4 linked regions of the Tamandua tetradactyla genome follow. The protein of the gene in region 3 interacts with the protein of the main gene of each other region in a biochemical or structural test. Links are inferred from orthologs where the notes say so. Each region holds a gene or a part of one and is shown on either strand. Other genes may lie near its edges. The genes, in order: PANX1, HCLS1, CASP3 and granzyme B-like.

Region 1 (7,838 bases), on a different chromosome or scaffold from region 3:
TTTTCTTTTCATAGGAGAACCTGGCAAGGAGAAGCTCTATTTCTTTGGCAAGACTCTAGGTCCCAGAGGAGCCAAGGTGGCCTTGGTTATCCTTTTTATCATCGGATTTCTCCTACTGATAGCCACAGTTGTTCTCTCTCTCAGACTCCACTCTGCAAGGAAGAAGATGTCATACCAGGAGGTCCAGTCTTGCGCACTCCCCACCGATGCTCTGTGAATCATCTGGTCTCCTTCAAGCAGGAAGGTGTGAGGTTCCACATCTGGACAGATGGCTGCCAACAGGGAAATTGGACCAACAGGCAATGTTCACCAAGGAAGGTTGACACTATATGCTGGGTCAGGCTTCTGATCCTCTGGAACATAATCCAAAGCAATTTGCTTTTATTTATATTTTTTAAAATAAGCTATAAATAATCCTCAGGTATGAAATGCAGAAAAAAAGGAGAATTTTCATGATTCAGAAATGCCAACTCTGTTCTCTGAATGAATTCACTGAGTGAGGAGATCCTCTGAAAGATATCTTTGTTTTACATTTTTCATAATTCATATATTGAGCAGTGCTTCCTCAGCTAACTGTAAAAGTTTCTAGATGGACAACTTTAAAAAGACTTAAAGCACTTAGATATCTAACTAGAATAGTACTAATTTTTCAGCACTGTTATGTAAGAAGCCGCCCTTAGTTGTTCCAGGGAAAATAAGTTTCTGAGGAACTCATAAAAAAAACTAAGTTAAGATTTGCTGATAGAATTTGACTAAATGAATATTTTGGAAGCTTCAATCAGCTCTCCTGACCTTTCCCCCTTTTATTTATAAATAGCCTGTGCACTGTTTGCTAAAAAAGGTAAAGTTATAAGCATTTTCTTAAACTTGCTGCTGTTTTTCTGCAACCCTGTAATGATACTTCAAATGTTTACAACTCACTTCATGTTATATGTTTTTATATAATGTTTCTGTGGCAATGTTTGCATTTTCAAAAGTCAACTAAAGAATTTCTATTTATATTTCAGAATCCTGGAATATTGGAATCTGTGAAATAGCAGGCTAGATTCTCTCACTTTCAATCAAGGACTTCCCTGAAAGTTCAGTGGGAGCATCTGAGGGGAGAGGGTAACTTTGCAGGAGACGTGTCTAGGCTTGAATCTTGAATCCGATTTTTTCATTAAGTTAGGGGGATCTTTCTACATCTTCATCTTCTATGAAATAAAAACAGTCTTATATGAGAAACACCAAGAGGAATTCATCAACGCAGCTGAGTTTGGGTTGGGTGGAGAAAGGATCTCACAAAATCCTAGATTTCATGCCTCTTAAAACATGGCCCTTTACTGGAGGAGGAAAAAAAAGGGAACGGAAAGGCATAGAGAAGAGGGATATCTAGAAAAAGAAGTTTCCCAAATAGCAATTTTTTTAAACCATGAAATCATCTTAAAGATAAGTATTAGTTTTCAAGACTCAAATGCAAAAATAAATTATTAATTTATTACCAGGCAAACCATACTCTGTTCTACATGCCTTAACCTTAGGTATAAGATTGATAAAAGCAACATTGTTTATTACTAGACTGAGAAATTGCTCTTAGCTCAGGCCAAGAAATCCTCTGCCATGCCAGGTGGGTGGGATGTTCACACATCTGCATTGGCAGTGGGTCATTTGAATGTCCCGGTGAACAAGTAGGACCTAATAAATATACTGGTGAAGGGTCTTTCATACTTTCTCATCTTCATTTTGGTGATGGAAAAGGGTATTTGATAGATACTTTAGGGGAAAAGGTTATTTGATAAAAGCTTTAGTGTCACTTAAAACAGTATGTGAATGCTAATAGTTGGGCCCATAGGTTGCTTGAATGCTGTATCTAACAAGGCACCTAAAGGATTTTAGATTCTAGTCTGTTAACCACTAGCAATGTAGTATGTGCTTTACAGTTTTCATGCATGTTTTCGACTGCATAATTACATAATAATTATGACAAATGCCTTCTTTATAACCTACCTGTAGTAACACAATAAATTGTTTAGTTACAGTTATAAGCTTTTTCCTTTCATTTAGTTTATTTTTTGTAATGAAAACAAAACCACAAAGTCAGTTGATTATACCCTTTCTCTGTTTAATAAACTTTCCCATATTATCAGACAGCTATTTGTATGGTTTCTTTCACTCAAGACTACTTATCACTAAACCTGGAAGGTGGGGGCTAGTAAAAAGACAATTATTTTTTAGATATTTAGCAAGTACCCCAGTAACACTTGCTAGAGGAAATGCCATAAAATAATAGTATATCTCCACAAATAATATGACAATTCAAACATTATTAGTCTATCTCTAGACATCTGCTCTCTCTGACAGCACTCCAAGCATCTCCAACGTCTGTGTGTCGGTTGGTTCTGAAGCAACTGTGTTTTCAGCAAAATGTCTCCCCTTTTAAAGGACTCCAGTAACTAATCAAGACCCACTTTGAATGGGTGGAGTCACATCTCCATCTAATCAAAAAGTCACACCCACAGTTGAGCATGACACATCCCTGTAGAGATAATCTAATCAAAAGTTTCTACCCTACAGTACTGAATCAGGATGAAAAGAAACAGCTTCCCCCGCAAGATTGGATCAGGATTAAAACATGGCTTTTCTGGGGTACATAACAGATTCGAACTGGCACAACATTACTTTCAAACCAGCACACTATCCATTTGACAGAGGTGTCACAGATTCTGGCAGCCTGTCTTCATAGTCCAGGTATCATCCTGTTGATGACTTGAGTTAGACATTTTCATGGCCTAAGAACTATATATTGTAACTTAATAAACCCCCATTTTAAAAGCCAACCCATTTCGCGCAGGCCACAGTGGCTCAGCAGGCAAGAATGCTTGCCTGCCATGCCAGAGGACCCGGGTTCAATTCCTGGTGCCTGTCCATGTAAAAAAAAAAAAAAGAAGCCAACCCATTTCTAGTATATTGTATTCCAGCAGTTTTAGCAAACTAAAACAGTTAAGGAAGGCTTTCCTGGGGAAGTGACATCAAGTTGAGACTAGGAGAGTGAATAAGGGTCAGCCATGCAAAGAGGCCATTGTAGAGAGCCCTTTTTTGGGCAAGGGAAGGTACGGAGGAGGAAACGGGCCTGCCTAACTCAGTGAACTGCAGGAGACATAGTGAAGCTGGTGAAGTAAACAGTGGCCAAATCTTGGAGATCTTTTTGGCCATACTAAGAAATTTGGATGCTTCCCTAACAACAATGTACATTTTAAGTAGGGGAGTGACATGAACATATTAAAGCTTTTCAAAAGCCTCTCCTGGTACCTGTGGGTGACAGTGGCTTGGGAGGTATGGTATAAGAATCACATACCCCAATTTAGACATGTTGTTAATTTTAATCCTCATTCCAGTGGGTGTGAACCTATTATAATAGGATCTCTTTGAAGATGTTATTTTAGGGAAAGTGTGGCCCACCAGTGTGGGTGGGCCTTAATCCAGATTACTGGAGTCGTTTATAAGCAGAAGAAATTCAGACATAATGAGAGAGGAGCCAGACATCAGTGGAACCCAGAAAAGAAAGGAAAGGACATTGCCATGTGACTGCAGGCAGGGATACAAAACCCAAGGAAACCCAGAGATCACTGGGAGCCAGCACCAGAATATCAGACTTGGGGAGAAAGCATCACCTTGTTGATACCTCAATTCTGGATTTATTCCAACCTCGAAACTGTGAATCAATAAAATCTTGTTGTTTAAGGTCATTGTGTGGTGTTTGTTGTAGTAGCCTTGCAAAATAACACCAGAGGCTTTGGGGAAAGAAACATTTGTTTATGTGATTAGGAGAGGATGGGAGCTTGAACTGGGGTGTTGGGAGTATAGATGGAGAGCTGTCAGATTTGTGATATTTAGGAGAAGAAAATTTGTAAATTGGTTATGGCAATGGGAGAAAGGGAAGCATTAAAGACAGGTTCCACGTTTCTGGCTGGGGTGGGTGGGTGGATGATAGTACATTTAGTAAGATGGAGAAGACTAGAGTTGCAGTTCGAGAGGAAGATAAGAATTACAGTCCTGGTCAATAGGACTTTCAAGTCCTACAATTCACTCAAGTGGAGGGCAGTTTAGGCCACTGGGTGTGTAATGGGAGGAGAAGCAGGGGTGGAGATGTACCTGTGGGAGTCCAGAGTATACAGAGGATGCTTGCATACATGGAAAAGCCCAAGTACAAAGAGAAGGGAAGGCAGCCCAGCTGGCCTTAAGTAGCCCTCATGTTGAAAGATCCTGTCTGCTTCAAATGCTGTTACAGCATTTACTCATCATCCATTTCCTATAAGTGGTTCACCCCCTTCTACGCAGACACCCCTCCGCTGGCTCCCGGGCCTAGGCTCTGACCCGGGAGGCACAGGAAGCACCCGGCAAGAGCAGCGCTAGTTGAGCCCTGATACCTAGTCATTGCAGCGTTCCCCAGTGTCCTTGCACCTTCCTCACCTTCCTCTCAAGCGCAGAGCTCATCAGAGGGCCCAGCGCTCCCTTTTTCTCACTCCCTCGTTCTACCCTGTTTGATTCGTCTTTTAAGGCATCCTTTCTTCTTTGAGGCTTTTGCAACTCAATTTGACGTGATTTCACGGTATAGAAATGGTAGGGCTAGGGTGTAAAGAGACCATCCTGTCTAAATAAATAAGAGGTCGCTGTCAGAAATGATTTCAATAATCCCGGTGCCAGGAAGTAGGAAGATTGAAGATGGGAAGGGCAGGAGAAATTTTCAGAAAGGCCGCTTAATGGGAAGATCCCCCCCTTAGTGGGAGGATCCGTACGCTGGATGCTGGCGCGCCCACCCCTACCCGCGTCACCGCGGTTTCCGGAAACTCCACGCCCCTGGGTACTCGGTTTCTCCGGATGGTTCCGGAAGAGTGGGGCGAAGCGGCAGAGAGAGCGAACCGGCCGGCCGGGACGCTGCACCGGCCGCTGGGGAGGAGCGGAGTGGCCAGGGCTTTGTGCCCCAGTTGATTCTCGAGCCTGCGGACTCGGGAGAGGCGCGGAGCCCGGAAGGTGCGCGCGTTGCGCCTGCCCCGGCACCCAGCGAGTCGAGCAGGGGCAGCTGCATCCCCAGCGCGGGTAGCTGGGAGTTCTGGCGCGCCGAGACACAAAGGCAGGCAGGATGGGGCAGCTGCAGAGTCGGCAAAGGAAAAGCGAAAGCCGCGGGCCCCGCCGGTGACCCGGTGAAGGCGCCGCTCCGCTCTCCCGACGCCGGCGGTGCGCGGGCCTACGCTCGTGGGCCTGCCGAACTGAACCCGGCGCGCCGCAACCATGGCCATCGCCCACCTGGCTACCGAGTATGTGTTCTCAGACTTCTTGCTGAAGGAGCCCGCGGAGTCCAAGTTCAAGGGTCTGCGGCTGGAGCTGGCGGTGGACAAGATGGTCACGTGCATCGCCGTGGGACTCCCGCTGCTGCTCATCTCGCTGGCCTTCGCTCAGGAGATCTCCATAGGTAAGGCCATGGGCGAGGGCAGGCGGGGCGGAGGAGGCCCGGCACGCCTTATCAGGGCTGTCTTAGACTGGCAAGATGGGATTTTACTGAGCGCCGGCCAGAATCTCGGCTTGCTGGCCGCTGCGGTGGCGTGCGCGTTGAGAAGGAAGGTAGCCCCGGTTTTACGGTCCGAGAAGCACTCTTTACCCGTGGCCTCATTTGTAACTCTGTGCTGTGGACCCTGTGCCCGGCCGTTGCAGCCTCCTGCGTTCCATCCCCACTACTCAGCTCTTGTTTCCTGCGCCCGCTTTGTCCCAACTGTAGTGTTCCTGTTCCACCTGCCATCGGATTAGCAGAGGACACCCGCCTTCTCTCTTTTCACACACACGCGTTTGTGCAGTCACATAAAATTTGGGGCCAAAGAAGTTCCCGTGGGAGTAAATGGAGTGTGCACAGAAAAGTGCTCCACGTAAAGAGTGTTCTCTCGCTGTTTTACGAGTAATTGCTATTTGCTGGGACTCAGCCATGCAGAGTTGGGACTGATAGGCAACACCTGCGCTTGACAAGGCCTCGGAGGGATACCAACATCCGCCGACTGGACGGTGTTTTTATGAACGTGAGATGAACAAGTCACCTTTATATAAGTTCTTATTTGATCCTAATAACAATTCTGGGAGATATGAAAGGCTCGTGGGTTGGGCAGGATCAAGTAACTGATAAATTTCTGGTTTTCTTCCTCATCTGTTCTTTCAGCACAGGAGAGTGTTTATGAAGCCACGGAAAGAGTGTAGTGGAGTAAAAGAGGTAGAGGCCAGTGCACCTACCCGGAGGGCAAAGCTCTTTATTGGACGTTGGGCTGGCCTGGAGCCTTGGAGCACAGATAGGATTTGGATAGCAAATTTTGAACACGCAGGGAAAAGTATGTGTTCCTGGAAGGGGAGAGACAGTGACTGCCCTCCTGGAGGCAGGAGGACTTGTTTGGATTTTTCAGATCTGAGAGTGAATATGGGCCTGGGTCAGATTAGAACAGAGGATAGCAGTCATGGTTGAAGACGTGGGAAGTTATCTGAGCAAAGGATGGACTGGCCAAAACTTAGTAAATAATAGCCTGGTGGTGGTGTAGGCTGTGTGGAAGGAGGGCGGAGAATGGAGCTAGGGAACTGGAGGCAGAAGGTGAGGCATCAGTTGAAGTCTTGTGCATGGATGGGGATGAAGAGTAGAAGGGAGAGGATGGGAATGGATGATTTGTGAGAGATCAAAGAGCAATAAGCAGGCCTCGGGTCATTAGTTTGTTGTATATGTGTGTGTTTTGTTTGTTTGTACCTCCACTTTTTCTTAAAAGCAGTTTTATTGAGATACATTCACACACCATACAAATCCATCCAAAGTGTACAATCAGTGCTTCGTGATATCACCACATCGTTGTGCATTTATAGCCGTGATCGGTTTTAGTACATTTTCATTACTCCAAAATAAATCATCCCATGCTCTCCATTATTGAGCCTTAATATCAGTGTGGTGCATTTGTTATTATTGATGAAAGAACATTGAGCCATTACTGTTAACTATAGTTCACAGTTTACAATAGGTATTTTTCCCCCATATACCACTCTATTATTAACTCTTTATAATAGTGGTAATATATTATATTATATTATAATATAACTATATATTATAGTTCTAATATAAAACTAGTACATTAACTAGTTTTTAATAGGGAACACAGGGCATATACTGGTCAGAGTTGCTGCAAAGCCTGCAGGGCTGGATGGGTGGAGAATGGCATTGTTGATAGAAATAGTAAAATTGAGGGAAGAGTTGGTTAGAAAAGGGTGTCAGTGTGTTTGATTTTGTGATCTTCACCCCACATTGTTCAGTTCGGCAGGAAGTTACCAAATTCATTGTGGAGCATAAGTTTTCAGTTTCCTTTGCGTTTGGGCAAGCATAGTCATCAGAGTTTCCTTTTGCCTTCCCGATGACCAGGGGTGGAGGCATCCAGTAGATAGGAAAACCACCAAGTAGCATGGGTCCTAAAGATAGTCTCTTCCTTTAGCAGATGCTCCTAGAGTACCAGCTGTGAACGCATGACACGTGGTCCCTGTCCTGGAGAAGTTGATCACCCTCTGTGACCAGCTCTACCTCTGGCTTATGAATTAGAGGGAATCCTAAGGCACTTGCACCATAGTACTTTAGGCACAGCCCAGGTGATGAGTTGTTTGCGAGGTATTTGTATAGCTTTGGAGTGGGTTTACCTGGCAAGGATTTGAGTTTTTGCTGAGCCTAGTACTTTTGTTGTGCCCTGAGAAAAATGTAAAAGGAGTTTTGAGAGGTGGTCCTCTCCTGGCCCATGGGAGTTTACCATGTCACAGGGATGAGTATGCCAGTGGATATGGCTAGCAGGTATTGCCAT
Region 2 (7,299 bases), on a different chromosome or scaffold from region 3:
TTTCCTTTGATATACTTGCTATTTTTGTAAGAAACCATTGAGTAGGTAAAGGCAGCTAGTTAAAAGGAGGAAGTTCTAGAATAAATAAGCAAATCAGCAAAAAAAAAAAAAAAAAAGAAGAGAATCTGAACTGCCGATTCAGTCTAGTTCTAAAAACCATAGAAATCTTTTTTGAGTGCTTTTGTCTATTAGCCTTTAAATATTTTTTTTAAAAATGTTTTTTAACGAGCTTCTCTGAATCAGATATGGTGTAGTGGGAGGTGGGGGAGGAAGCATGAGGTTTAGAGACCCCTGGATTTTGAATCCAGGCTCCTCTCTGCCTCTTAACTGGCTATATCACCATGGTCGAGTAATTTAACCCCTTTAAGCCTTACTTTGAGAGTAATATATCAACATCAAACCTTGAGAATGAAATACATGTAAAGCACCCAACCCACAACATCTGATACTTAGTAGGCTGACTATTCATGATACTTACTTTTTACTGCTATTGAACAAAACCAGTCTGCCTTACACTCCTTGCATGAGGACAGGTGCTGAGATAACAGCCTTACTTGTGATGCTACTGTGCTACGTGGGAAGACTTCTGAGCTGCCTCCCATGCTTATGAACTAATGCCAAGCATCTTTTTTTTTTTTTCTACACAGGTTAGAACACAGTGAATGGGACTCTGCCCGGACTCCTATCATTGGCTCCTGTGGCACCCAGGAGCAGGTGTTAATAGATCTTACAAGCTATAGTTGTCAAAGGGTAAGAAAGGAAGAAGGATAAAAAGAGGGGTTCTATGCTACCAAATGGGGCTAGTTGTATTGAGGGCAAGGAATCAAGGAAAGAAAATATGGAAGTCCAGCCAGTAAGCAGCTAATGGCTATGTGAGTAGAAGAGTATGAAAGGTTGGGAGAAACTAAAAGAGTTTGTCAAACCCTCAACCCTGAGGGGCCTTTCACCCAGGATATCTCTTTTCTGCAGTGGTTAAATCAGTGTTGCTTAGATGCGAGATTGATGGGGAAAGGGTAATAGACACACCCCTATATGTTGAAGTGCTCTAACGTCTATATTTTTCTTTCAGACCCGGAGTGGTGCTGGATGGAAGCGGATTTTGCGTTCACTCTGTCATTCCCGGACCCGGGTGCCACTGCTAGCAGCCATCTACTTTCTGATGGTTCATGTCCTACTCATTCTGTGTTTCACAGGCCATCTGTAAATTTACTTGTCCCCTTTTGAACTGTTCCCCAAGGAACTTGGGATTCCTCTTGTCCTTCATGTCAAAAGCATCAGTTCAAATGGAACAGTCTTCCCACATACAGATCATCTCTCCAATTCACCACAGAAAGTGGCTGCGAAACAGTGGTGGATATGGGCTCAAGTTGGAGTTACAGGGACCAGCAAGTCTCCTCTCTTCTACTTAGGCCTGAATATATCTGCAAATCTGAAGAGGCTTCACAGTTGGTTTTTGAGCCCAATATTTAGATTTTACAGGGCTCTGATCATCTTTTGTGGTCCTGTAAAAAGATGTTGAGGGGTGTCTTTCACCTAGGAGGATAGTTCCAATAAACCTAATAATCTGAAGTCCAGTAACATTTTGATTTATAGTTTCCTTGTTTCATTTACCTTTATATTTTCTCCTGCTTCATGGGGAAGGTGGTGCTGCCATAATAAAAATTATGGGGAATGAACACATCACCTCATAGGACATCATGCACAATGGAGTGAGAGCTGAAGAACTCCCCAGGGACTTAGTTTTCAGCTACTTGGTCCCAGAAGAGGACAGTCTCACCTTCCCTGGCTGTTCAGAGATAAATGGGGATTTGCATTTCTGGGTTAATAAAGATGGATCACATTTGCCTAAGACCCTGATCTCATGTATTCAAAGGGATAAGTGATTCCTGCCTTTAAGGAAGAAGAACTGGCAGCAATCAGTGTGTTCAGGTTCTTGACCTTCCTCTATTATCAGGATATGCCTCCATTGTGGGCCCTGAGATGGTGCCTAGCAGCCAGCAAGAGCCAGTCCTAGGCGAAGCATTGACTCCAAGCCTGGGAAGTCTTTACAAGTCTAGCCTGGGACCACACTGGACTCACTCTTATCTAACCTCTTGAAATACTAAACAACTTTGCTGTTGGTGATGGTTATTCCACTTTCTCAGCCCCATGATCATGTGCTCTCTGTGGTAATAGAAGGCTGAGACAAAACAAGAGAGGATATAGGGAAGATGAAATATTTAAATCTAGGTCTGAGAATGACAGCCAGGATTAAATTCCATTTGTGCCTCCTTTCTGCCCTACCACCACTACCACCATACTCATTAATTATTTCCTTATTGTTCACATGGTGTGTTTCCTGCCTGCTTCACAACCCAAAGAAGAGAGAAGACTGGTGGACTGATCTGCTGTAATTCTTTGTTCTCTGGTGACCAAATCTTGGTCATAGCATCCAATAAACTCTCCTGAACAGCTGTAAGATAATAAAGTTATTTTCAGAATGAAGACTTCTGGTTATATGTGCATGTTTGTGAGTTGTACATCTACATGAGTGCTTACATATGTGTTTTTGCATGCTGGGGAGCGGAAAGTAAGGTAGGAGGCATGAGATGAAGTAGCTAGAAATGGAAAGAGGTAGAAAGCTCTGCCTACTCAGTCTTCCTTTTCACTGGCCAGTATCAGCAATGGTTGCATGCTATCCTTTCAGCCTTAGCCACTAGAGCCCAGGGTGCTGAGGTGGAGTGAGCAAATCCCATCTAATACCAACCAAACAAGTTGGGCCTTCATGCAGCAGAAGAGCAAAATATACCTAAAGGTGGTCCTGGAAGAATTCTTGTCTGGTACATGTTGAAGGCATTTGACTGCTAGGTATCTGTCTGCGTGGGAGCAGGGAGAAGGGAAGTTTAACAGCATGGAGTCGGTTGGATGGACATTATTTTTCAGTTCTGCTTGAGAAAAACTAAGTTAATTCCTCCAAGTCCATTAATAAATGGCTCAATTGAGCCAAGTCTGTAGCTTCAAAGCCCATTTCTATGTGTTATTTCTCACTCCCTCTCATCAGGAATGAACTTGGATTGGGACATTTGCTAAAGAGAGATGGAGTTTCTTACTGTTATCTGTGATAATTCCAGGGTTTTTCTAGAAGGTGGTAAGTCACAATATCTGGTCTGGTAATTCCTAATTTGGGCACTGAGGTAAGACTCCAAATGATCTGAAAGATGTTTTTTCTGTCTACAGATTTGCTCTTTAAATAACTTTGATGTTGCTATGATAAATAGGTCATGAAGTAGGAGCGATCAATAAATGGAACTCCCTCTGGGCAGAGAATTCTTAGATTTGGAAGTGACCTGAGAAGTTTCCTATTCCTGACTCGGGTATCCCTTCTGTACCTGGGCCCATTTCATTCAGTCTCTGCTTGAACCCTCTGGGGAGCTCAGGACTGTGAGCAGTCAGGTCAAAACTCCACAGCCAGTGAAGATTAGTGGAGGCCAGGTGAGGTACAGTAACAAACACCCCACATTCTCAGTAGTGAAACAACAAACGGTTATTTTTTAAAGGCTTGTAAGTTCCTCACAGGAAGGATGGTATTCTGCTCATGTTGTCATTCTATCTTGGGGACCCAGGATGCCAGAGGACCACTGGAGAAATGTGGGGTACCTTGGTGGGGCCATGAGGGAAAGAGCATGGCAAAACTCGCTGTGATCTTAAAATCTGCACCAGAAAGTGATACATTCACTTCTCACATTTCATTGACCCAAACAATTCTGGTCAGGCCTAAGGAGAGAGAGGAGCAGCAAACCTTGATGAACGGTAATACAGAAGTCTACAAAGACCTTCCATCTGGTACCACTTGGTTCTTTCAGATTTCTTCCTACTATTTGGAACGGAATCTTTGTACCAGTTAGCTCAGACTCTTCACTGTTCCCCAAACAAGTTATGAGCCTTTCTTCCTTCATACCTTGCCTTGTGTCTTGCCTTTCTCTAAAGAGTTATTCCCTCCTGCCATTTAACTGATTACATCAATTTTATTTAAAAGGCCCTAGATGCAAACCCCAGTTTTAAGTGCTGTGGAAAAGGTAGAAATGTAGCTTCTTTTTAAATCTTACTCTTCAACATCCACCTATTATTTTTCCCATTAAGCCTTTCTTAATTACTACTCCCATACTAAATTCTGTGAATTACTTTAACATGCAACTGCCCACAGAATTTAGGTCACAAATGCTGTCCTATCTCATTCATTTATGGGTTTTCTGGTTGAATGTTTTGATTCTCTGACTAGATTATAAACACAGGATAAGAACAGCATTTTCTGTCACTTCCCTATGACCCTCAAAGCTTGCAAAAGAGTAGGCACAGAGACGTAACATTAACCCCTTTTTTTATTTAAGTCCCTGAGCACAAGGAACTGACTCAAACTTCAGGAAGTAGCTGTGAGGACAGTGTGGCAGGAAATGACAGCAAACCTGAATACGGAACTGAAGCAGCAGCTCCGACTTTCTTGCTCTGAAGTGCCAGCAGCTAGAGAGGGAGCGTGGAATCACCCTGAGGAGCTGAGATCTGAGTGCAGACACACTTGAAGGTGGGTGCTCTGAACAGTGGGGGGAAGTTAGGAAGCACAGAACAAGAGTTGAAGTAGGTGGAGCTTACTTGGGTCTTTCCCCTCTGGGGAGTTATAAGGTTACTGCTATTAAATATTTAAACTTTTATGGCCAGAATGTGTGTTGGTTGTAGAAATCGGCATCTGGGGATGAAAACAGAAGGGAGGGTCAGGACTCCAGGGAGCATGATCCAGCAGCCATCCAGAACACCAGACCATGTGAAGTGCTGCCTGGTTTCTACTGACATACTACAGCCCCCTCTAAGGCCTACCATTCCTAGGCACTGAGTTGAGAAGAAAACCCCAGAAGGAGATGAAGACAAAGCCTTGAAGGGCATATGATCTAACCAGAGAGGCGAAACCCACATAGGAAATGTTCTAATTGAGCAGGAAGTACTCGCTAAAGTACACTTGTGCTGAGAACCAAGTGCTGATGGGAGGCCAAGTGAAGACGTGATAGATAGCTGGGGTTAGTTTCTGTGATTGTAGGATTGAAGATTCCCAGAATGTCAGAACTGGAGGGGACTTTGTAGATTAGCTGGAATAATGCTTCATTTATTTTCCAGTGGGGGATTCTCAGTGATTTTCTCCATTTATTTAAGTTGGTGTTTACAAATTGCCTAACGTGGTGACATCTAAGTTGCTTCCCTGTGCTCATGTTCTCATCAAGGACTTAGTAAAAGAGCTGGGTGAACCCTGGGTCTTCAAACTCTCAGGCCTTGCACTTTACTGATGCTGCAAGGCAGCCTTGTGATGAGGCCCTTGATTGCCTGTAATAACTGGGCCATCCATTCCCCACCACATCCCTCTCTAGTCTCCCATCTCTCAATAGCACCTCTTGGCTTCCCTTTATCTGGTCAGGAGGGAATTGTTTCTCTGTCAGAAACTCTTCCTACTATTTCAAGAAAGGGGGAAGATGAGAGAGTCAACTGAGATACTGGACTAAGAGCAGGATAAAGGGTGGGGCCACTGGTCCTCAATGCTTCCTTATTGTACACGAATATTTAGAAACTTCTCTTTTCCAGTTTTCTGTGTTAAGCTGTTAGTTGCAGTGCAGCCCGGGAGTCAGGGCTTAAGAAACGTGGGTTGTAGGTGGTGGAATTATGAGTCTTGTCCATCGGTCCTCATCGTAAGTGACTTCCTGGGCAGGGAAGGCAGAGCTGCTCTCTGACATATCCTACGGCCAAGTTGCCTCATCAATGAATCACTTTTCCCATTCCACCCCAAGTTCCCTTTGCATAGAGTTTCCAAGGGGTTGTGCAAAGAACAGGGAGAAAGGTGGAGTTTACAAACAGAAATGGAACATTTGAAAGAAGAATCTGAGGGTCTAGGTGCAGAAAAAGGAAAGCCCTAGGTGTGGTTGTAAAAAAGACAATAAGGAGCATGGGGGAGGCCTCCAGTGGGAAGAGAGTGCTGAGCTGGGAAGGACAGGCAGGAAGATTTCCAGCTAGCAAGTGGTGCTGGGCCCACCTGAGTCTGGAGAGAACTTATCATAGATGTAGATAATGCTAAAAATCTGAATGTCAAAATTGCTGGTATAGTTCAACTGTGCCTAAATCTGAATGTCAAAATTGCTGGTATAGTTCACCTGTGCTTGGAGTATATCTATGAGACATGCAAATATACCCTTAGAATTATACTGCCATTTCATTCAGGTTTCTACATATGACTCTTCTCACAATTGTTGAAATAACATTGATCCAGTTCCTGACAAAGTAAGCAACATCTACACTCCTCTCTCCAACCGTTCACTCAGTTTCTCTCAGATAACCCCCTCCACTCCTCCTCTGACTGTGCAGGGGTGCTTTTCTACAACTCTGGTCTACCTCAGTTTTCTATCTCAAGAGAATATGGCGAGAAAAATTAGGTCTCCCTTGTCACTGATTTCAGCATACTTTTCTACTCTTGATACTTTTTATCCCTAACTATTCGCATCATCTGTCACCCTCAGATGTGGAAGTCTGTAGTGGGGCATGATGTATCTGTTTCCATGGAGACCCAGGGTGATGATTGGGACACAGACCCTGACTTTGTGGTGAGTTTAGAAGTAGCTTTGCTTGGACAATGAAGAGGGTGGTGGTGGGACATCTGAGCAAGGATGTTCTGGGACTGAGACTGCTCTTATAGTGAGAATGACTGGTAGCATACGTGGGTCATGCATAGTAGCTGGTGATGAGGATGGTAGGAGACAGGTGGGGAGGTGTTTGACAGTTTTATTTTCAGACTATGGCAAATTATGCTAAAGGTGAGAAATAGGCCAAAATGGGTCTCCTTTGGCATACAATCTAGGATTTGAGGGCAAATGTATAATTTGGGGGGATTAAGAAATTATATGAAAGAAGGAGGGGAATATTTGAGGGATGCAGAAGGAAGGGAGGTTTCTCAATTTACTAGTTTAATTTCCACATGGGGTCAGGGCGATGTACACTGAAAAAGGAGTCTGAATTTAGGCACCGGCTGAGGAGACAGCTGATGCAGTGGACAGGGAGGACTTGCCAGTCTTGTGGCTTCTCCTAGTTAGCACATCTCTTCTCATCACTTATTGCCAAGGGCTGTCTTTGCAGAATGACATCTCTGAGAAGGAGCAACGATGGGGAGCCAAGACCATCGAGGGCTCTGGACGCACAGAGCACATCAAGTAGGTGCCAAGAGGACTGAGGCTAAGGAAGAGGTTGTGGGAGAACCCAGGGGGGTGTTGGATGCTTGGCAAGCCAGGAAGGAAG
Region 3 (7,378 bases):
CTGGAGGAACAAAGAAACAGGTAAGTGCAGCTCTGTATACTTTGTATAAAACAAATATACATTGAAGGATCTTTTTGTAAAAGATACACTAGTAACCTGTAATGTTCCCTTTTCCCTATTGAGAATCACTGCCCTGGTGAATTGGGATTCAGGTTTATAACCATCAGATTAAAAATGTCCTGCATGCCAAAAAGAGCTCAAAACTGCCCAAAGTCAAAGTCGGTAGCATTTATTCATTTTACATTTGCACCATAATAATTTATTGAACACCTACTGTGTACAGAGCATTATATCAAACTCTGAGTATATGAAGTCATGGATGAAACAAAGTCCCTGGCCCCATGTGGGCTGATATCAATGGTCACGGAGTATTTGAAAGTAGCTCAACAAGGCAGATGTCAGACAGTCCACATCAGATAATTTTATCTTACTCTACCCTAATTCAGAAACTCTATAAGCTTATATTCTTATAGAGCATTATTTGAAGGCAAGAAAAAAATATGCAGAGAAATAACTAACATTACATAGTTTTACATTTACTGGTACTATCTCATAGATCCTCATGACTCTGTGAGGTATGTATTTCATACCCAATTTATGGATGAGTTAGTAAATTGTTGTGATTAGGACTTAGTCTCAGGTTGTCTGATAGAGTATGTTTTTTCTTCCATTACATTTTTATTTAAATGTGTACAAACCATTCTAAGAACATAGCTAAGAGTCTAAGAATTACTGTATCTTTTTTCAGGCCCAAACACTAGTGATTCCCATTTAAGATAGAGCTTAAAAAACTACCTAATACTGGGCACCAGAATCAATAAAAATGTCATTCATGAAAATAAAGGTTGCCTATAGCATCAGAAAGGGGATGAAGCAGTAAGAGATTGTGTCAAATTAGGTTTGAAAGCAAAAGAGTAAAGAACATGGTAATTGCCTAAGTCAAAAGAGAATTCAGTATCCTAAAATAGCAGGAGGCAAGGCTTTATTTCAGGATAGTAAAAGGAAATTTGATTTAATTAGGTACAATGTTTCATTGCTTTTACCTTGAACAGGGTTTACTGCCACTCCAGTGAAGTGTTTATATTCATTACCACACATTCTCACTTTCAAAAGCCTTCTTTGGCAAAAGAGCAGAGCAAAACCAAAGCTCAAGCACCAGGCTGTGACAGAGGTGGTTTAAATTTTACATTTTATTCTTAGAGATCATGTCACCACTAGCACATTCAAAGTGGCTAAGCACATTTTGACACAGACTGGTCTAAGCACCTTGCTGTGTATCTCCTACCGCTATCTTGTATATTCATACTGTTACGGGGACTCCAAATTTTACTTCCCTTTCTTAAGTCACCTCTTTTAACTTTAATTTCCTATGTAATCCCAAAACAGATTATTTTTTTCATAGGTCGGGCATAATTATTATGAAGCATAATACTGCAGTAACAAGACAAATGGAAGGACATCCAGACATTAATGCCAGGCTCTGCACAGAAAAACAATAAGGAACTCCAAGATAAGTTAGCATGGTCCCTGTCCACATGGACTTGGCTTACAATCTAGCAGGGAAGATAGTGAACCAAGTACCTGCAAAGGGTATAACACAAGTTATAAGGGAAATGTTGGATGTGAGAGAAACACAGATTAGGAAGACCTAACCTTGAAGTATTTAATTATAGAAGGATAAGCAGGAGTTCTCCAAGCAAAAGTGAGGGGTCGGAAGGAAGGGAATGCCAGAGTGCCCAGGCAGAGAACAGGTATGGAGGTTAACACAGCTGTGCAGAAAGTGAAACCTGGCAATTGTAAAAGACAAGGCAGGGGCCAACTAACGCTTGGCTTTGTTAACGATGTTAAAGGGATTGGCTTTACCCTAAGGGCAAAGGTATACAGGCATGACTTTCTAGATTTTCATTTCATAAAGCTGTCGGTGCTGTAAAGAATGGGCCAAAGAGGTGGATGATGGGTCTGAAGTGTGGGAGATAAGTTAGGTGGCTGCTGTAGTCAGATGAGTCTAGGGTGGCCAAAATCAGAGATGGAGAGAAATGGGCTGATCGGGAAAGGGATGGCGTGGGCAGGAAGGAGCAACAGAAAGAGGATGTCTGAATAACTGTCTGGGAATCCGTTTACTGAGAATGAGGAAAGAGGCAGCTTGGGAAGCAAAGCTTGTGAAAGGGCTTATTGAATAAAGAGTGTCTAGTGTGAAATGGTAACCCTATTCAATTTATGTCTTGAGGGGATTTCAGAGCAGCTCCTAAGTGACTTTGCTCACAGATTCTAAGAAGGAGCAGAAAACCATCATATCTTAAAAGGAATTTGAGTATCATGCTCGAAATAACTTCTCTGGAAAAGCTAAACCACAGAGTTAACAGTTAAAAATCTAGGGTCCAGATACACAGGGCAGTAGAGACCAAGCCCCTGTTAAAAAAAAAAAAAAAACCACAAAGGAGCCAGAGAATCAGGCCCAGGGCCAGCTCTCCTCGGTTAGCACCGGGCCAGCCACACACCCTCGGGGCACCGTTTCCCGGGGTCAGTCCTCCGCTCCGCGATCCACCACACAAGGGTGCAGTCTCGGCCGCGGTCACTAATCAGCATCCTACTGCCCAGCTCCGGGCTTCCGGCCCGGCCTCCCGCTCCTCGGCCTGTAGCTCCCAGGGCTTCAGCGCTCATCCCCGCACCCACCGTCGCGGCAAAACAAAAGAGATGCAGCCAGGCGCGTGCCTACCAGCTCCGCCTAGTCCGAGCAGCTGTGGCCTCGGGCAGGGCCCCGGGGCCGGCGCTGGGCTAGGGAGGTAAGAGGGGAGCGGGCCCAGGGCTGAGGGCGCCGCGGCGACTGAAAGGGCGAGGGCGACACTCACCGCACAGTCGTCAAAGGCCGCTCCCGCACACCCTGCTCCGCTCCGCTCGGTGCTAGTGGAGCTCTGCGCGCCGCAGCGGGAAGAGGTGAGCTAGCGAACAGGGCTCGCCCCCGTCTCACCCCGCGCCAGGACGCCTTGCCCCGCCCCCAGCCCGTTACACCTCTCCCCTGCGGCCGACACGTCCCTCCAGCTCCGCACGCCCCGCCCCCGGCACGCCCACGCCCACCGCCCCTCGCCTCCCGGAAGTCCGCCTCCTCCAGTCCCGTACGCCCCGCCCCCGGCACGCCCGCGAACTCCGTCGGTCTCCATCCGGGAGCCCGCCCCCGTCAGGCCTACGCACGCCCCGCATGTCCCGCCGCGGCACGTGCCGCCCGCCTCCTTCCTTCTCCGCCGGGCAGCCTCGGGTCCTTCCCACCCCACCCCGCCGCGCCCGCGCCGCGGCCCCGCCCCCGCGCCTAATTTGAAGCCGCGGTTCCGCCAGCGTGGCTGGTTCAGTCCGCCGCCGGGGGGCTTCCATCCCAAGCCCGGGGTTTTGGAGTGAATTGAGAGAGACAGGCCTTGCCCGGGCCGGGGACGGAGAGAAGGGAGCCGAGGCCGGCCTGACGCCCAGTCTGACCTGTGGGAAGAAGGGGAGCAGGCCGGGACCCGCACTGGTAATCTTTTTCCCTTTCCTTTACGGCAATTCCATGACCCTAAATCAAAAGCCTTGGCTGCCGTCCTGGTTCCCGCGCTGTTTTGGGACAGGAACTCATTTCACACCTTAATGCTGATTATGAATAGCTTTTCTAGAAGAATATACTAGCACACATGGGCAAGAAATTCTGCACAAAATTTTAAGCAGTTCATGACATAACGACGCCAAGTCAGGACCGCTTGTTAAGTATTAGGTTACTCCCAACACTTTTGTTTCTTCGGTGTAAGGAAGGGGCTGTATTCTGTACATAAATATTCATGGTTATATATATTGCTACCATTTGTTGAGTGCTTATTTCTTGCTCTTATCTTTTCATAATACATTTTCCTATTTTATTCTTTCAACAACCCCTCCAGGTAGGAATTCTAGCCACCACTAAAGTTTAAAGAGATTAAATTGCTTGCATTTGCTAATAGCTCAGTCGCAGGAATTAATCTCAGATCCCAGGAATAAAACGGAGGCCTTTTTTTTTTTTATCTTTCCCAAGCAAAGAGGGAATAAGTGTTTTGCATTCCTTTTTCCGCTGTAAAAAAAATAAACAAACCAAAAACCTGAGAAATAGGACCCACTCTCAACCAGGATGGGTAAAAAAGTCCACTTTACCCCATCCATTTGTGTTACCCAAGCCCCTGTCTGAATTTACCAACACGATTACTTACCGGAAGCAGTTTTCTGTTTTCCTGTAAGTTATGCTAATTTTTTTAGTCTAGGAGGTATGCTTCTGACTGATCCGGGTAATTTATCTTTACCGGTGGCAGAACTTGATGTGCGCCTTGAGGTGGAAGATTCGGGAAAAGGCAACCTGGGACATTACATGCGAGAATAACATTTGCAAAAAGGCTCTTGGATTGAGCCAGGAATAAGGAGTAGTCATTCTTTATTTGGTGAGAAGGCTGAGCAGAGAGAAATAAAATAAGTAAGTGATTTAGGGCCAGATTACAGAGGGGAGTTTCTATTCCTTGAGGTAAATTATACTGTGAATTTGAGTGATGCAGTGAAACATGAGTGCTGCTCTGAAAAGTTATGAAAGTGTTTTTAAAGATGATTAGTCTGCTTCAGTCATGCTGATTGTATGGGAGATCCGGAGGGTGAGTAGATTCGAAAAACTGGAAAAGAACAATATATTGCTGTTTGTTTCTTATCCCTTATGGTAGATTTTGGGGGATTGAAATATGGGTTTGTGTTCAAGCATAGACAGGCAAAGTGACTAAAATGGAAGAAAAAAAAAGACAATTAGTAAATTATTTAATTTCTTAATATTCATCCAGAAGGTAAACTTGTAAAATGATTTTTTTTTTTTTTACTGCAAATGAGTTTTAATCATATACTTTACCATGAAAACTTTACCAGTAGTTGGAGAAATAGTATCAGTGCATTCCAGGAGACCAGTAAAGGCTTAACATTAAAAAAAAAATTTTTGACAAATAGCAGAGCATAATAAATAGTAGAATAGAACATATAACACTAGAAAATACAAAATATTAACGAATCTAATTTCAGGTCAGAGGGAGACATTGTAATTGGGAACAAGAATTAACCAGTGATGAGATAAGAAGATGAAAAAAGCTGGCTTCAGATCTCCTTAGAAGTCAGTGATCATGAAGATTGCACCCCGTAGTCTATTTGTCTGGAAACAAGCCATCAGATTTCATAGCTGGACAAGTCTGGGCATAAACCTAAGGATGAGGAATATTATAGTCTAAAACCAGAATGTCAGATGCTTTCCTGCTCTCATTTCCTCTTTTTTTTTTTTTTAACTCAGCCCTCCCTGCTCAATAGCTCAAGCCTCATTGTCTTCCAACCCTCGCTTCAGCTGTTAAATTTTTCAGCTGTGCAACATAACATGGGGACATGATATATATTGAAATTTTCTTTTTCTTCTTTCAAAGCTCGTGGTTTCCCTATTCTAGTGATACCAACACTGATTTTCTGTTGTGACTCCATAATTTTTATGTGTGACACAATCCATGATCATGTCAAGATTTTGACAAGGTCCTGAGATGATTTCAGTGTCCTAAGTGTGAACTTACATATGGTTACTCTTAGTCATTGGTAAGATAGTAATTATAATTCAGGTCTGACTTACTTCGTATTCATTTTCCTCATTATGTTATCAGTGGACTTTGCTAAATGTTAATACGTGTAAGGAAAATGATGTATATTAATCTCAATGAGATTTGGGGGACTTTTATCTTTATGTGAAGCAGATTAAAAGTAACCAGAACACTCAGATTCAATCTAGCAATAAGGAACCATATCACTTTGCATAAAAAAAAAAAGCGTTTTTTTTTAATTGCTTCATTTCCTCAATCCTCTGAGATTATATTCCTTTTCCAGGGATATTTATTATAAAATTTGTAATGATACATTCGGAATTGTATTTTTCTTCCTTGGTTTATAGTTTTCATGTGATTCTTAGAGGATAATCATTCTTAGATCTGTTATGGTTGAAATTGAACTTGAAATCTATGAATAATGTTGGGAACTGAGTCATGTCTCTTCCAAAAGGCTTCATCAGGACCCAAGTGCTGGTCCTTTGAGTGTGAACCCATTTGTAATTGAAGGTGCTGTTAGTTAGGGAGTGCTTAAACTGAACCAGCATGAGCCTAAATTCTGTGTGGCTGAAATCTTTGATAAGCAAGGAAAATTGAACAGAAAAGTCCTGGGGAGCAGACAGAAGCTGTAAGTCAGTGGAACTTGGAAGAGAAAGGAGAAGATGCTGCCATGTACATTGCTATGTGACGGAAAAGCCAAGGGCCAAGATTGCTGTTAGCCAGCCTCAGAATACCAGTCTGGGGAGAAAGCACGGCTTTGCTGACACCTCAGTTTTGGACTTCTCCTCCATCAGACTGTAAACCAATAAATTCCTATTGTTTAATGCAACCCATGTTATGGTATTTGTTTTTGCAGTCAGGAAATTAAAAGAAATAATATGCCTTTTTTAAAAATTAAAAAAAAAAAAAACACATACTATTACTACACTCTCTCAGTCGTCTGGGGTGGTTCTGTTTTTGCTTCCAGGAAATAATATGCTTTGTGGTGAGTTTGGTGTTGCCTTAAAGTTTTATACTAAAATACAAGACAATATTTATCAACTCAATAAGTACAAGTACTGGAAAAGCATCACCTAAGCCATTTATATGCCTCTTTGGAAAAGTGTCTATCCATGTCTTTTGCCCATTTTCAAAATTGGGTTGTTTGTCTTTTTGCTATTGAGTTGTAGGATTTCTTTATGTATTCTGGATATTAAAATCTTATCGGATATGTGGTTTTCTGAACATTTCATCATGTTTTTCATAAAGTCTTCTGATGCCTGAAAGCGTTCAATTTTGAGGAGGTCCTTTTATAATTTCTTCTTTTATTGCTTGTGCTTTGGGAATAAGGTCTGAGAAACCACCAGCTACCACAAGATCATTAAAGCGTTTCCCTACATTTTCTTCCAGGAGTTTTATGGCCCTAGCTTTGATGTTATGACTTAGATACATTTTGAATTAATTTTTGTATAAGGTGTCAGATAGGGTTCCTTTTTCTTTCTTTTGGATAAGGATATCCATTTCTCCGAGCTCTGTTTGTTGAAGAGCCTCTTCAGTCCAGTTGAGTAGACTTGGCCGCCTTGTCAACACCAGTTGGCTGTAGTTGATAGGATCTGTTTCTAAACTGTCAGTTTGGTTCTGTTGGTTGATATATCTATATGCCAGTACCATGCTTCTTTGTCAACTGTTGCTTTGTTATATGCTTTAAAATCAGGAAGTGTGAGACATCCGACTTCATTTTTCTTTTTCAAGATGTTTTTAAATTGCCCTTCCAAATAAATTTGATTATTGATTTTTCCTAT
Region 4 (7,501 bases), on a different chromosome or scaffold from region 3:
AGAGCAGTGGTTGAGCAAGAGTTGACACCAAGCCCTGGAGTTCCCCAGCTTAAAGGGGGCGGAATTTGCCCCCTCCAGGCATAGGGCAAGAAAGGTTTCCTGGAGCTGTGCTCCATTGGCCCAATCACTCCACCCTTAACTGGTCACTGCAGGCTTCAGATCCCGCCTAAATCCACAAACTACTTTGCAATATCTTTCTTGGGTTCCCATCTTTACAGAGACTAAATCAGGCCGCCCAGCCACAACTTTCCAGTTCGAAGCAATTTGTGACCCTTGTGATCCTAAAACAATTACCTAAGGCAATGTGTCCATCAGCCCCCACTGAAGGGTAGCTGGGCAAGAAATAAAAGAATGGTGACAAGATGATTAAATGGGCACACCATTCAAAAGAGGAGACCTTGGAACTGTGCAGGGGGGAAGACTCGCCTCCGGTCCTGGGCCACCAGCCCCCTGTGCTGGACCCTGGGAACCTCATTTGTGGCTGAACCAATGAGTGACACACATGAGTTATTTAATTGTGTTTAAAAGCCATTGTCAGTGAGAGAGAGAGAGAGAGAGAGAGAGAGAGAGAGAGAGAAACCATCTGTGCTAGTTTGAAAGGAAGCATGTCCCCTAAGAAAAGCCATGTTTTAATATAAATCCCATTTCATAAATGTAGAATAATCCCTACTCAATACTGTATATTTGAAACTGTAATGAGATCATCTCCCTGGTTGATGTGACTTAGTCAAGAATGGTTGTTAAACTGGATTAGGGGATGACGTGTCTCCACCCATTTGAGTGTGTCTTGATTAGTTTCTGAAGTCCTATAAAAGAGGATATATTTTGGAGAATGAGAGATTCAGAGAGAGCAACACTACGAAGCAGAGAGTCCACCAGCCAGCAACCTTTGGAGATGAAGAAGGAAGATGCCTCCTGGGGAGCTTCATGAAACCGGAAGCCAAGAGAGAAAGCTAGCAGATGATGCCATGTTCACCATGTGCCCTTCCAGCTGAGAGAGAAGCCCTGACTGTGTCCGCCATGTGCCTTCTCACTTGAGAGAGAATCCCTGAACTTCATCGGCCTTCTTGAACCAAGGTATCTTTCCCTGGATGGATGCCTTTGATTCTACATTTCTACAGACTTGTTTTAATTGGGACATTTTCTTGGCCTTAGAACTGTAAACTAGCAACTCATTAAATTCCCCTCTTAAAAGGGACATTTTCTCAGCCTTAGAACTGTAAACTAGCAACTTATTAAATTACTCCTTTTAAAAGCCATTCCGTTTTGGTGTATTGCATTCCAGCAGCTAGCAAACTAGAACACCATCACTACCAAGGAATATCACAGACCTAAAGGAACAGTCCCTCTAACAATAAAAAAAGGCAAAGAAAAGAAGCATATTGCAAAAATCATGTTTTTGTTGTTGTCACTTTTCTTTCAGAGAGCATCATACAAGTCTCCCCTCCATATTAGAGACTGTGAGAGCAGAGAAGACAGCAGTGAGACACTTACTTAGGGAGCGCGTCTTTGGGGACGTCAGGGAGCGGGAGCCGAGGACCATGCCACTAGGCAGTTTGGTAGCTCGGTGGGCTGGACAGAAGAGGCAGAGAGCCCCGGGGGAAAGCGTGGGGGTGGCATGGACTAGGGACATGCGTGTGGGTTAAGGACCCCTAAGCTTTGGAAATTTAAGATTTCCAAAACAATTTAGGCTCATGTTTCTTTTCATAAATCACCAGCATTTGACTGGAAATCGGGGTCCAGGCTGCTAGTAGTATAAAAGCCCATGGAAATGAGGAAATAGGATTGAACTGCAATTATATAATATGTAGCATTGTAAAAATAGCATTGTCAGAAATTCACATAGGGACAGTGCAACAGTGGCTCAGTGGCAGAATTCTCGCCCACCGTGCCGGAGACCCAGGTTCGATTCCAGAGCCTGCCCATGCAAAAAAGAAAAATTCACACAGGTTATGTCTCCTTAAAACAATACCCAAGTGAGAGAATATTACCAAGATGTATTTCTCTTTCCATGTCCTTGTGGCAAACACAAGTGGATAAATCACTCGATTTTAATGTTTTTATGATCTTGATAAACTATGATCCAGAAATTGCACTTCTGAAAAGTCAGCCTGTGATAGAACCAGAATATGAAAAGAAAAAAAACTTCTGTGCATAAAATTTTTATCACAATATTACTTCTAATTGTCCAAATTTAAAAACAACCTATAGTACATCCACACAATGAAAGATAATACAGTGGTTTGAAAGGATTTTTAGGAATTGGATAGAAAAAATTATCTAAGGACATGAATAAGGATGTAAGATAAACCAAAAATATATGACCGATAGACATGTATAGATACATTAAATACCTAAATTAAAGATAGATTCAAATTACAACATAAGAATGATTATAGTCCATGCAGCTGTGAGTATACAAAATGTTATGTTCATAACCCAATTTTATGAGCTTCCTGGAAAGCCATTTTTCAAAATAACCAAAAGGCCTAAATTTGCATACAAATTTCAATCCAGCAATCCCACTCCAATAATTTATCGTAGGAAAACTGGATATCCACACAAATTAAGTTGCTCATCAAAATATATTTATGCTAGCAAAAGTATTACAAGCAAACATGAGGTTCGGCAATGGATGGTGGATTAAGTAATTTATGCTTTCATTTTTAATTTCACATGTATAATAATGATAGCTACTATAATTCTCATGTCCTGACAGAAAAAATGTACAGCAAATTTTATTAAGTATAAAATGTTTCAGAGTATTATTTTTAGCATAATCCCCGTTTAATTTTAAAAATTCATAAATATTTACATTGGAGAAAAATGTGTTTGCTCATACATGAAAATATTAAAAATGTCTATCAATGAAGGACAAGAAATCAGGTAACTGTTTTCTCCTTGCTTAACTTATATTTTTAACTTTCCAATTTGAAAATTTTTATTATTTACTAATGTTAATTTTTAATTATTAGAAAAGAGAGGCTGCAGTGATAATAACTAATAGATTTTTAACAACATGAGGAAAACGCTTATGTTATAAGCTTAAGTGAGAATATAATATATCCTGAGTGATCACAAGTATTTAAAATACACTAATTATATCTGACATCTTTGTGTGAGATAGACTGATATTTTTTCTTTCTACTCTCCAAAGTTTTAATGAAAATATATTACCACTATAACCTAATTTATTAGATTATACTATTCCACAAGCTAAATTCTAAACGGTAGAGGTTTGATAAACATAGTTTGTTAATTCTTCGTGAGGAGGAGATTAAGGCTGTAATTATATATTTTGATACCTAAAATTCCTCATGTGAAATACAGAAAATATAAAGACGAAAAATTAAATCACCAGAATCCAGACCTCAGATATAGTCATTTCGTACTTCATTTCCCAGAATTGGGCTTGGTCTCTGTAGCCACACCAATCCTTACATTCAATCAACATAGTTTGATTAGCAAATGTTTACTGCGGGTATATTATGTGCAAGGCCTGCTAAATCAGAAGTGTGGCTCTCTGTACAGAAGACAGAAAATACTAAAAAGATCACTATTAGCCTTTGGGTGCCCAACATGCTTTCCCACTTCACATGGTATCAGCAATTTAGTAAACTCGAGAACCAGTTTTTCCCATTCTTTTTTTTTTTTTTTTAAAGAAAGACAGAGAAGGAAGGAAGGATAGAAGGAAGGAAGGGAGGAAGAAAGGGAAACATCTTTAAACATTTTCTTATTTTATTATATTTTGTTTGTTTGTTTGTTTTTTACATGGGCTAGGGCCGGGAATCGAACCGGGGTCCTCCGGCATGGCAGGCAAGCACTCTTGCCCGCTGAGCCACCGCGGCCCGCCCTTTTCCCATTCTTGATTCTTGTGTTGGGCGAAGCTGACCCAGCCTACCCATGGAAGGAATGACCTAGGCTTAAGCCAATTGGTGGAGTCAATTTCTTGGGCCATAGCAATTCATTAACTTAGGCCAATAAAAGTCAAATGCAGGACTTTGTTAAAAACATTACGGGAGATGTTCTCTTTAATTCTGCACATCTGCATGGTCAAGAATAAATGAAGGATGTTAAACATTTCCAGGGAAGGACACAGTGATGACAAGTGGGATGCTCCATGGCCATACTCTCCTTACTGCCATCGTCCCTCTGCCATGGCCCTCACCATAACCTGGTCACTAAGGTTTTTCTCTCCTCCATCATATGGTGGGCTCTCAAAGGAAGGGACATACGTCTTCAATAGGTTTGATCCTAGCACAGAGAAGGGCCTAAAGACACATCTGCTGAGGACATCTTCTTGATGGACTTGGTAGCACAGAGATGAAGACACTGATGGTTCCATCACTGGGGCTGTCACTCAGGTTTCTGAGACTCAGGACTTCTTCTGGGCCATGCCACATCCTATAGTCCCACCTTCTACCCTTGGGCCCCCAGCCTGAGCTGGAACAAGTAATCTGCTCTGAGTCATCAGCTATGGGGACGGACGTGGTGACTGCATGACTCTCACACAACCACCCAGAGAACGTCATCAGGCAGAGGTGGTGGGAGTGGGGTCAAGGGCAACTTTCATAGAAAGGCTTCGAAGGGTGAAGCCCCACAAAACCAGAGGAAAACAAGAGGTTTCTGAGCCTACCAACACTTTCTTCCTCTCCTGAGGGCTTAAAGACAGCAAGAAAGAGAAGTACCAGCCACTCCAATCCGGGCTACCTTCCTAACAAGATGCAGCCACTCCTGTTTCTGTTGGCCTTTCTCATGCTCCCTGGGGGAGAAGCAGGTAAGTGACTGTCCACACCCTCAGGGCCCCGACCTCATCCTATGGTGGGCACAGATCCCCTGCCCCTTGTGCACAGCTCTGATCCATCTACCTGCCAGGAATATTCTGAACCCCAGCTCCAGCCCCACCCAAGTCTGCCAAGGGTGATGCTGGACAGTCGACAAGAATGGCAGGGTAGAAAAGGCCACCCTCAAGAAGAGCCAGTGGGTGCTCTCCTTTACAGGAAAGTATAAAGGGACTCTCCTAGAGGTGCATGGCAGATAGTAGGAAACTGAGAGAGAGAAGAGGTTAAATGCCTCCTGGAGACACCAAATCACCTGCTTGGGAGTGGTTGAGATGGGAAATTGTAGGTCGATATATGTTTCCCTAATTTTTTACAAAAGGGAGAAGGGGACTATAGAGACAATGGCAATTCAATGCAGTTCATGAACTGAATATAATATTAGAGGAGAAAATGTTCAAAAGGACATTACTGGAACCACTGACAAATTGGAATACGAACTATATATCTTATATTAATGTTAAAGTTCTTGAACTTGATAACTGTACTTAATATGGTTACATAAATAACTATCCTTGTTGCTAAGAAATATGCATTGAAGTTTTACATGTTCAAGGAGGATAATGTATGCAATCTATTCTCAAATGTTTAGAAAATAGAGATAGATGGTAATTAGATATAAATAGAGAGAGAGAGAGAATGATACAACAAATGGGGCAAAACATTAAAATTTAGCAAATGTGAATATTTGGATGGGGGTATATTTGCGTCCTCTCTATCAGTTTCATAGTCTTTTTGCACCTGTGCTGTAAGTTTGAAATTATTTCAAAATTAAAAAAAAAAGTTTAAAAAGAGGTATCGTGGGCGTGGCTTCTATATCTGGGACGAGGCAGGCGCTCCCCTCACGCTTCTACTTAGGAGAGAATCCCAGACCTCAGCTGACCCCATAACTGTGGGATCATGGTCCCCACACTGTGGCTTTTGCCTCTGCTCCACCTCGATGCCCTGACCCACCCCACCCTCAGTCCATCGCTACAACTCTGCTTTTCTTGCCAGGCCATGGCAGCTCCCCTCTGGTCAAGGATGGGCTGCTGACTTTGGCAGACCCCAACTTCTCTGCTTTCCAGATTCCCACCAGCATTAGTCCTACAGCCCTCATCCAGAAGCTATCTGGAGGCCATTCCTTCGTGCAGCCAATGAACATTTCCTGGGCACCCACTATGTAAAAGGTTCTAGGAAATAGGACATGACAATATTCAGATCCCTAAATTTATGTCCTGCCCATTAGGAAGCAGCACTATCGGAGACAGCATAGGATTCGCAGGCATCTTGGAAACTCACTTCATCCCAACTCAGCTTCACTAGAAGCTCAGAAAGGACTTTTCAGGGGTCTCTGGGGCTTCTGTACCTAAGACAAGTACACTTGGCTTCAACTACGCGCAGAACATTTACAGAACAAGGGCTGTTGCTTTCCCCTTCTCAGAGGAGGACATTGGGGCCGCTCCCACCTCCCCACCACAGGCCATCCCAGGCTCCCAAATAACCAGCCCTTCTGGAGTCACCAACCAGGTGGGTACCTGGTGGAATCTGGGGGTACCCAGAAGCATAACAGATTTTTCCTTCAGGGAAGATCATCGGGGGACATGAGGCCAAAGCCCACTCTCGCCCCTATATGGCATTTATTCAGTTCTGGAAACAGGGGCATAAGAAAAGGTGTGGTGGCTTCCTGATACGAGAAGACTTCGTGCTGACAGCTGCTCACTGCTGGGGAAGGTGAGAGCAGCAAAGGGCCCACATCCACCTGGAAACACTCCGCAGGGACTCCCACCTTCTTCCCAAGGGGATTCCTGGGCTCTTAGTAACACAGGTACAGAGGAGCTCCTTGGAGAAAGAGGGCAGCTAACTTTCTGCAGAAAGGGGAAGGTCAGTACCAAAGGCATTGCTGAAGAAAGGCAGACTAGATTATCAACCCTATCTTATTTGGAGCTGGTGGCAGGCATTGGGATCTCAGTGCAAACTGAAACAACTTCCCATGTTTTTCTAGGGGTAACTGATCTCTGAGAACCCCTGGAGCAGTTCCCATGGGCTGCAGAATCCCACCTGGGCTACCAAAAAGCAGAGGGCATAGAAAGTTCAGCCCCAAGGTAGTCCTGTACCCTCAATTTCCCCTCAACTGCAGTCCTGCCCAGCCCCGGGCTGTCTCCTGTCCTTCAGGGTTCCTGGGCTCTATCTCCTGTCACTCATATCCTCCACTTTCTTCTCTGTGCAGCTCATTAAATGTCACCCTGGGAGCCCACAACATCAAGAAGCAGGAAAAGACCCAGCAGTTCATCCCTGTGAGAAGCGCCATCCGCCACCCAGCCTATAATCCTAAAACTATCACCAATGACATCATGTTACTGCACGTAAGACAAACCTCCCTGCTGGCTCTTGCTCTCCTCAGACCAGAGAATTTCTCCACCCACGGTGATCCCTGTACATTTTCTTTTTCCCACCCTGGCTGCCTGACTAGTTTTAGTGCCCACGAGTCTCAGAGGGAAGGCAGTGCAGCCTCCTTGGGGTTTCCAGCCTAGAAGGCTCCTGGCTGCCCTAGATTCTCTTCCTCTCCCTTCCAGCTGGAGAGAAAGGCCAAACGGTCTGCAGCCGTGCGCCCGCTCAGCCTGCCCAGGCTCAAGGCCCGGGTGAAGCCAGGGCAGGTGTGCAGTGTGGCCGGCTGGGGGCAG

Evidence for each region.
Region 1: of the proteins of CASP3 (region 3) and PANX1, one has a biochemical effect on the other in vitro, tested with the Homo sapiens proteins (2 studies listed by IntAct). The link is inferred for Tamandua tetradactyla from reciprocal best matches to the Homo sapiens genes CASP3 and PANX1.
Region 2: of the proteins of CASP3 (region 3) and HCLS1, one has a biochemical effect on the other in vitro, tested with the Homo sapiens proteins (2 studies listed by BioGRID). The link is inferred for Tamandua tetradactyla from reciprocal best matches to the Homo sapiens genes CASP3 and HCLS1.
Region 4: of the proteins of CASP3 (region 3) and granzyme B-like, one has a biochemical effect on the other in vitro, tested with the Homo sapiens proteins (2 studies listed by BioGRID). The link is inferred for Tamandua tetradactyla from reciprocal best matches to the Homo sapiens genes CASP3 and GZMB.

The regions. Positions count from the first base shown.
Region 1 is NC_135334.1:48,832,217-48,840,054, reverse strand, and holds the start of PANX1 (pannexin-1), read left to right. Parts: upstream 1-4,827; 5' UTR 4,828-5,268; coding exon 5,269-5,449; intron 5,450-7,838. Other genes in the region: ferroxidase HEPHL1, read left to right, coding at 15-217. UniProt on the Homo sapiens protein: Ion channel involved in a variety of physiological functions such as blood pressure regulation, apoptotic cell clearance and oogenesis.
Region 2 is NC_135336.1:24,106,544-24,113,842, forward strand, and holds the start of HCLS1 (hematopoietic lineage cell-specific protein), read left to right. Parts: upstream 1-4,283; 5' UTR 4,284-4,558; intron 4,559-6,527; coding exon 6,528-6,611; intron 6,612-7,140; coding exon 7,141-7,214; intron 7,215-7,299. Other genes in the region: GOLGB1 (golgin subfamily B member 1), read left to right, coding at 648-750, 1,070-1,204. UniProt on the Homo sapiens protein: Substrate of the antigen receptor-coupled tyrosine kinase. Plays a role in antigen receptor signaling for both clonal expansion and deletion in lymphoid cells. May also be involved in the regulation of gene expression.
Region 3 is NC_135352.1:27,971,110-27,978,487, reverse strand, and holds the start of CASP3 (caspase-3), read right to left. Parts: upstream 3,010-7,378; 5' UTR 2,850-3,009; intron 2,298-2,849; exon of another isoform or gene 1,403-2,297; intron 21-1,402; exon of another isoform or gene 1-20. UniProt on the Homo sapiens protein: Thiol protease that acts as a major effector caspase involved in the execution phase of apoptosis. Following cleavage and activation by initiator caspases (CASP8, CASP9 and/or CASP10), mediates execution of apoptosis by catalyzing cleavage of many proteins.
Region 4 is NC_135340.1:29,963,579-29,971,079, forward strand, and holds the start of granzyme B-like, read left to right. Parts: upstream 1-4,497; 5' UTR 4,498-4,722; coding exon 4,723-4,777; intron 4,778-6,403; coding exon 6,404-6,551; intron 6,552-7,047; coding exon 7,048-7,183; intron 7,184-7,393; coding exon 7,394-7,501. UniProt on the Homo sapiens protein: Abundant protease in the cytosolic granules of cytotoxic T-cells and NK-cells which activates caspase-independent pyroptosis when delivered into the target cell through the immunological synapse. It cleaves after Asp.